2 linked regions of the Xenopus tropicalis genome follow. Each later gene encodes a partner of the first gene's protein in a complex. Links are inferred from orthologs where the notes say so. Each region holds a gene or a part of one and is shown on either strand. Other genes may lie near its edges.

The links.
Region 2: the proteins of atp7a (region 1) and atox1 are in contact, whole or in part, in an NMR structure (PDB 2K1R), measured with the Homo sapiens proteins. The link is inferred for Xenopus tropicalis from reciprocal best matches to the Homo sapiens genes ATP7A and ATOX1. Residues at the interface, in NP_000043.4 of Homo sapiens: Cys19, Asn20, Ser21, Cys22, Trp24, Thr25, Gln29, Asp67, Asp68, Met69, Gly70, Phe71, Asp72; in NP_004036.1 of Homo sapiens: Thr11, Cys12, Gly13, Gly14, Cys15, Ala18, Arg21, Val22, Lys25, Lys57, Thr58, Gly59, Lys60.

What each region holds. Positions count from the first base shown.
Region 1 is NC_030684.2:45,789,258-45,793,077, forward strand, and holds part of atp7a (copper-transporting ATPase 1), read left to right. Parts: intron 1-282; coding exon 283-400; intron 401-847; coding exon 848-950; intron 951-1,956; coding exon 1,957-2,233; 3' UTR 2,234-3,820. UniProt on the Homo sapiens protein: ATP-driven copper (Cu(+)) ion pump that plays an important role in intracellular copper ion homeostasis.
Region 2 is NC_030679.2:16,843,327-16,847,862, reverse strand, and holds the start of atox1 (copper transport protein ATOX1), read right to left. Parts: upstream 2,983-4,536; 5' UTR 2,900-2,982; coding exon 2,894-2,899; intron 1-2,893. Other genes in the region: g3bp1 (ras GTPase-activating protein-binding protein 1), read left to right, coding at 3,108-3,187. UniProt on the Homo sapiens protein: Binds and deliver cytosolic copper to the copper ATPase proteins. May be important in cellular antioxidant defense.

The sequences.
Region 1 (3,820 bases):
GGTTACCTTTATCTAGCATTGTAATGCTACACTGTGTCTCTTGATGCTTTCCTATAGATTTCTATAAAGTTATTGATATTATTTTCAAAACAGTATATTTCATTAGGTAGGTAGAATAAATGCTTCATACAAATAGGTGATAGCTGGCTTATTGCTTGCTTTTACTACTTAGATATTTAAATATCAGATACACATCCAATTGTCGGGTCCTATTAGCAAGGGGGATCCTTACAGCGCTTTGTGCCTGGCCCTGGAATAATCCCTTTTGTGTTCTCCTTACAGAATGATCTGCTAGATGTGGTGGCCAGCATTGATTTGTCTCGCAAGACTGTGAAAAGAATCCGAATAAATTTTGTCTTTGCTCTAATCTACAACCTTGTTGGAATCCCAATAGCTGCAGGTACCCAGAAACTGCATTATTAGATGGGGGGTTCGGTTTATATTTGTACAGCTACTGTAAGCAAAGCCGACCACTTATCATCCCAGTTCTATGGCATCAATGATCATATTGCGCCTTTTGGCCAATATTTGGCTGATTCTATGCCTGTGGAAAAACGCTTGCTTACAATCAGCCCTTCCGCAGGCCTCCGACCTTCCTTGTGCTTGGAACCATTGTGCTTCCCAGGGTGCAGGTATTTCAGCTTTGAAATGTGAACTCTTGCTTTCTAATATCTCAGACCAACACAGTGGTTCTGGGCACAGGGAAGGTAGGAGGCTGATGCTATTGGAGGGGCTGATTCTTGGCCTTGGGTGGCATCAGCATTTGTCTAGGGGTTTTGTCCACCATTTTATTGGGCTGATTTTTAATCAGAAATCCTCAAAATGAAATCCTGTTCTATTTTTGCAGGTGTGTTCATGCCAGTAGGGTTGATTTTGCAGCCATGGATGGGATCAGCTGCTATGGCTGCTTCCTCTGTTTCTGTTGTCTTTTCTTCTTTGTTGCTTAAACTGTAAGTATGGGACCCACATTCACTCCTGCTTCCTTCCATAATGTGATAATACACTCACTTTCAATTTTACATTTTCGCATATTAAGTTTTCCCAACTTATAATGCATTTCAGTGGGTGCTTTTCCCACATTTTACACCAGAATGTTTGCCTTCTGTGTAAACAGTACATTTCAGTAAATTTACACTTCCTCCACAAACACTTAGGAGGGTGCAAGAGCTCACCCCTCAGTGCTCATTCTAGAAATACTTGCGCCCCCTTTGTGCTGTTCCAGGACACGCAGCTAATCCCTGTCATTACTATCTGCCTATGTGACTCTCCACACCCACCTCCCTTGGATCTAGTGCTGACTAACTAAGACCGTGAGGCAGATATCAGCGTTCTGAAATAGAGTTTCACATGTTGCATGCTGCCTTTGGCTTTGTTAATGAGGCCTATAGTGTTGGATTGTGTATCTGACTTTCAGAGTGGTTTTGCAAATGCTGTACCATAGGGTGCCATTAATGTTGCACTGCTTAGACTTTGTCCTTAGCACAGTAACGTACTGTTTGAAAGTGACTCTTGTTCCTTTGATGCATTTTTTACACTGCTAAGCACTGTGGACAATTTTACATTCATTTGTTTTGTGAGTTTAAATTTCCTTTAACGGTAATTCCTGGTAATGTCTTGGCTACTGCTGCCCTCTGGTGGAGAACATTGGCAATAAAGATGCCCATCTGTCTGTTACTTTCAATACCAATGACAAATGTACATAGGGGTGTTTTGACTGCTGCTGTTTTCTGCCAAATGGCAGTGCTGCACAGAACTCTGCCTGGGACCCATACCCATTAGATGCAGTCATTCAAATAAATTTCATAATTTGTTCTGTTGCACTATGTCAGGGAGCGATATACCCAGCAGGTTGCTCCATAGCTTTTTGATCTGGCAGATGAAGTGATATTATCCACACACAATTCTTGCTTCTCATTTTCAATGATAAAAGCAGCGACTGTGTTTGCCTTTGTGCAGGTACCGTAAGCCGAGTCGTGAGAAACTTGAGCAGCGGGTCCAGGGCCAGATGAGACAGAAGTCACTTTCCGACATTAGTGTTCATATTGGACTCACGGAAAACAGGAGAACTTCCACCAAGCTGGACCTTCTGGATCGCATTGTCAACTACAGCCGAGCGTCTCTGAATTCCTTTTTGTCTGACAAACATTCCCAGCACAGCATCCCACTGAGTGAGCCAGACAAACATTCCCTGCTCCTGGGGGAACTGAAGGGTGAGGAGGACACGTTCCTATGAACGACGGATGGAACCTTCAGCTGAAGAAACTTTCTCTTTCACTGTGCTGAAACCTCTATGCAGGTTTTTCCAAACAGCAGCTAGGATCCCAAACCATTGTCCAACTAATGAGATTCCTATGAGGGATGCAAAAGTTTCCCTTGGGATACTGAGTACCTTAAACCGGTGCCTCCTGTAACCTATTGTAGAAAATGGACACCATGCACCTAAGGTACCTAGTGTTCCTTTCACCTTTCAGGCAAGGAGTAGGCGGACAGGGATGCAGAAACCTGTTATTTGTGCCTTATTGCCATTGGATAATTATTCATCCATTTCATAGCACTGGACATCTGGCAGTAAAATAAATTAGCCTTTGAGTATTTTATTTTTATATGAGATAAAGGCCTGTATAGTGATCTTATATGTTCTGATTAGCATTCTGATTCCATTCCTCCCCCCACCCCAAAGAGAATATCCTATTAGCCTTTGCTTCCAGCTGCTGCACTGCACACTTTTGCTATTGAGATTTATTGGGCGACTCCGACCTCACTGAACAAAAATTTTTATTCAGGGCAACGGGGTGAGGTTCTTTTCTGTTTGTGGCCTTGGTTCCTAATTCACAGATTTCTTATTTATTTGGGAAGTTCCCCAGTTGAGCCCAAATAGCCTTGATTGTGACAAGCCCTTCCTTACTAGAACACGTGAATTGCGTATGCCATATGTACCTTATGCACTTATTGGCCGAAGAGATCTTTCCAATCATTTCTTCCATGGAATGAAGTCTGCAGTATCTGCCAGCCATACACTAACCTTGCAGCAGCATCTCCACGTGGGAAACTGTGAGGATGAAAATGAAAATGCACGCTTTGCTGAAATAGAAAAAGAAATAATAATGAAGGAGGTTATTTTGTTGATTCTTTCAGTCCATAAACCATTGGGCTTGCAGACCTTGGGATTAATAGACTGTAGCACTGTTGATTTTGGTAGGTCTGCTCGCCTGCCGTGTGACTGAGATAATAAAGGGCAGTGGTTCCCAGCCTGCATCCTTGGGCTATTACAGATGGTCAGCTGAACCAAAAACACAATGCCTTCCAACTTTTGCTGAACTTCCACTCCCATCATCCTCTGTGTTTGGCTTGAGCACATGATGTGTGCAACTAGAGCATGCTGGGAATCACTGCCTATCAAATGTCAGCATTGGTTTCCTGATAAAATGAACCTCAGGTTGGCCATAAGGGTATTAAAAGAAATATTAAATTCACTGCACACCTATCAGTTGTGCCTGCAGAAATGTCACGGTCATGTCCTTTATTGAGGCTATTACTAGGTTCAGATAGCAATGCCTCCTGTATACCAGAGCCACTCACAGGCAGGGCGCTAATATTGCTCCCATTCCTGACTAGGCCTGATATCCTGCAGAGCACAGTAAAGGCCAAACTGCAGGAGCCAAGGACTCGGCAATCCAGTGATTCTGTATGACTGTACATGGCTGATATGTAGCTACAGTGGCCCAATGTTAATGTTGCGCTCACAGCACTACAGGGAATAACTGGCGCCTCAGCAGTCGTGGTTGCTGCGCCTCTGAATGTGACACTTATCTCTGTTATT
Region 2 (4,536 bases), on another chromosome or scaffold:
GGTATTATTTGGGCTTTATTTATGCATTTAATTTGTACATATAAAATTATTATAAAAAATATAAATTATTTTTTCTATTTATTATAGCACATATATTAAGGTTGATACTGAGAATACCCATCATTGCGCTAAAATGGTAAGATTTCCATAGTCTAAAAGATACTGATTGGTCATTGTAGAAAATGTGATTGGCCAATAGCCACATTACATGTATATGTATGTTCTGCCACTAATCAGAAGTCTTAAGGTGGCCATACACATAGCAATTTCGATCTTTCGTGATTGTTCCCACCCTCATCTGACTTTCAGGGCTGAATTGTTAGATATGGATGTAGAAACAAAAGAAATTCTACCTCCTTCTGCCGATTCAGCCCTGAGCATAAATTTTGTTTGGACGCCTTCAATGGCACCCAATCAAAATCCTTTAACCATAACAAAACGAGGTTTCGCACGATAATATCGGTGCATGTATGGCCGGCTTTAGTTATCTAGTTGCTGGCCTTTACTGTAAAACTGACTCAGTTAGGAACTAATAGGAACAATCATTTGATGGAGGTGGGTATTTTTTCATCCTCTGCTACTGTACTATGTACATTGCGTTATTCCATACACACTCTCTCTTTTTTTTTAACTCTAATACTCTAAGCAAACATGACCTTTGTGCAGCCTATGTAAAGAACAATGCTAGACCTTGATTCAGAACTGGCCTGCCTCTGTAGATCTGGTTTCAGCAAACTGACCTGTAAACACTAAGTCTGGAGCAGCAGTGGCATTCAAATGTAATTTGCTCAACGGCAGAAAAATTGTTTCAGGTAATAAATAGCAGTTGTCAAAATCCTTGTCCTGATCAGTTATACCTGTAGTAAGCACATGGACCACTTGAGAGTCCACAAGCAACCTGCTATCTAGGTAATCTCTATATTATGTACCTTAATTATATTACTCAGCAAATGCCAACCAACCAGAATTGCAAGTTTGTGGCTCCATGCTCAGACCATATAAATGCAGATGTGGAAATCTGTAAGTCACTGACGTAGAATGGGAGACAATCACTGCATGGGGGTGGGGTCAGGGCCCCACTTGGCTCATATCCAGGGGCGCTGCTGCCATGAGGTAAATTGAGAACTTGCCTCAGCAGTTACCAGGGGCAGCAAAATCAGAATTTTGGCTCAATGCACTGGTGATGAAGTATCGGAAGGCCTGCCTCAGGGTGGGCAGGGACACCAAATTAGCCCTGCTCATATTTATTAATTGTACAGCGGAATATGTTGGCGCTTTATAATTACATGTTAATAATAATTATTATAATGACATCAAGCTGGGAGATCATAATTTCGCTATTTCCGCCACATGTTCTGTGCACATCTGCAGGGGAATGCAATAAAAGTCGTTAATGGAAAATTATTCACAATGCGAAAATGTATGGCCTTGCACACATTTTATGCTTTCTGTGAACTGAATATAGCATTTGTGAACATGGAAACTGTTCAGCATTCACTGCTGCCAGTTGAAGAAAGATTGTGAATTTTATAACTTTATTAGTTTTATACCAGTATGTAATGAAACTTCTTACTAAAAAATGTTATTTTTCCTCCAATAGTTAGTGCTATCTTCAAGCACACCTTAAAAGTGCACTATGCACAATTAAAATCAGCAATGCAATAACAAAGGCTATTACTTTGCAAAATGCAAGTTCACAAATATCGCCAATAGTGAAGTTGAGTATTCATTACTATGGCAACAACTGGAGGGGCCCTGGCCTTCTCCCTGATAAAACATAGGGCTGGGGCAGTAGCCCCCCAATTGGGCATCCCCATAGATCAGATTCCAGAAGTATAGCTGGCCATACATAGTCAGAACATTCAGATATCGATATCGTACATTTAAGTGCAACAATATAAATCTAACATTCAGACTGAAATTGAAGGATAAAGTTCTAAATATAACAAATCAGAGGATGTTAGGAACACAAAATATCTTTGCAAAGGGGAAGAAGCACACCATTGTGTCGGCAATGCCTTTAAATCATTTATTTGCAGAAATTAACAAACCCCTTCTTCAGGTACAAAGTCGGGGTCACCCCCGAAAGCTTGTGCTGTTTGTTCATTTCTGCAAATAAATTATTTAAAGGCATTGCCGACACACTGGTGGTGTGTTTCTTTCCCTTTGCAAAGATACATGGAAAAAAGGCTTGGGAGCGCCCGTGGAAGTCAAGCACCCTTTGAGAACATGTATGTAAGTGGTGTGCTGAAGATTATTTTTTATGTTGAAGGAACACAAAATAGTTGGCAGATACCTATGGTACAAAAGTGACTTTCATTGTGGTCCCCCAAGGATATTGTCAGATACACAATACATGCGCAGATTTTATTGTCATTCAACCAAAATATTCGCCATGGTAAGAAAATTATCGAGATGATAGCTCTGAGCCCACACACAATGTAAAAATCAGTTTCGTATGATTTTATTGTTGCGTGTATGGCCAGCTTAAGTAGTAGTTCAGTCTGGGTGCTGGCCCCTCAGTTTGGGAACCAATTGACTAACCGTGCATAATATACACCCACATTAGATTTCTTTACATTTAAAAACCAATATTTACATCCTTATTACCTCTCATCTAGTTAAGTCACTTACAATGTATGCTTATACCCACAGCACTAGAACCCCTAAATGCTACAACTCAATCTGCGTAGTTACAATAAACAGAAATAGCAAGACTTTCATTTCGTTTGCAACAAACACATAGAAAAATGGAAGGAACAAATAAACTGAAACATTTCTGCAAAAATTGCCACTAAGTATTCTGTTAACGGATAAGATTCCAGATGTTTGCAGGTGAGAGTGTGGGCAGCGCTGATCCTCTGCTGCTAAACGACATTTACAGATCACTTACCGACATGGCGAGGCAGATGTGCGCAACGCTGTGCGGCTCAGAAGATCTCTCTAATACACCTCAGCTCTGCTTGCTGGAAGGGAAGCCCTGATCAGGCCCAGCCCTGCTTCCTGTCCCATGACTGAGAAGGAGGAGGAGGAGGAGGAGGATGGTCTCAAACTAGGAAAGAGGAGAGCAAGAGCCCAGGGTCCTTTTAGCTGACAAACCATAGGAAATGATGCTGCTGCCATCTTCTGGTCCGCATGGCCCAAGTGAGGAAGAAACAGTCCTAAGCATGGGAGAAACCGGCAGAAAGTATGTACTGGGGGTTACTTTAACGAGCCACCTTTGTAAGACTCATTACTATCTCTGTCAAGTTAGAAAGCCACTAAAGGGTAAAAGCTGTCACATGGCATAACTTCAACAACTTTTAGCACTACAGTCAATTTAAAGCTACAGCTCCCAGCTTTCCCCAGGCAGCAGAGCTAGCAGCGTTAGTGTAATGGTAAAGTTCTGCAACACTGAAGGCTGCTTAGCCCTAATTCGCTTCTAGCTCAAGTCTATTTCCTGATCTTTACAATTATCATATTAATCTTCCGAGAGTAGGGTTATAGGGCATATTAGCAGGGGAATTAGCAGGGGATGTTTGCATCACAGTGGAATGATAGCAAAATGTAATGATAGCAAAGTTAAAATTATAATTTTCGGGAAAGGCAGTACAAGCCACAGATAGTTAACCCTTTTCTTAACATAAAGGCCTTGTTGAATATACTAATATTAATAACATTCTTACTTGGTAGAGGTTGTGTGCCCATCATTTAAAAGACTGCATTCAAATCTGCATGGTAGGGTGTGTTTAACTGGGCCCAGGATCATGCATGATATTGGAAACTTTGACTATGTGCATGACGTATTCCAAAGTGCTTACCTTTATTCTTTACACTGAGTCATAGGGAAACTAAACCCACCTTCTACCTTAACATCTCTCCCAGCTCCCCCCTCTCAATGTATTAACAGGGCTTCCAGAATTTGCTCCTCCTTCTATAAGGGTGAAGACACACAGGGCTACTAGTAGCAGCTACTAAAATAGACAATGCTGACAGGGCCAGAACTAGGGGTAGGCAGAAGAGGCAGCTGCCTAGGGCGCAACGATTGAGGGACGCCAGGCAGGAGCCTCTCCTGCCTACCCCTAGTGCTACTTTGTCATTGCCTCCACCGCTTGTCATTAGCGGCGGAGGCAATGACCGATCTAATCGCCCTGCCCCCCCCCCCCTGCACCGCCTCCTGTGCTTTGGCGCGCATGCGCCGTTCGGGGGGGAGGTGGGCGGAGTTGGCCGACCGAGTTGCCTAGGGCGCCCGGTCGGCTTGGCCCGCCCCTGAATGCTGATCATTTACTGATAATTGTCTCTCTGGGGCCATTTATTAGAGAATTATAGAACTTTTTGTAATGTCCACGATAATTTCGTTAAAATTCCACTACTTTTTTGTGGTTTTCATTAACTTTCTCGAAAAAGTCGTATTTTTTGCAAAGACTAGGACCATTTCGGAATTCATTCAAGCTTTGGTTTCGTGACTATCTTTTGGCCACGTTGGATCTGTAGAGTGCCATTGAGTCCTATGGAAGGCTTCCAAAATCATACATTGAAGGTTTCAAAGCCAGAAAA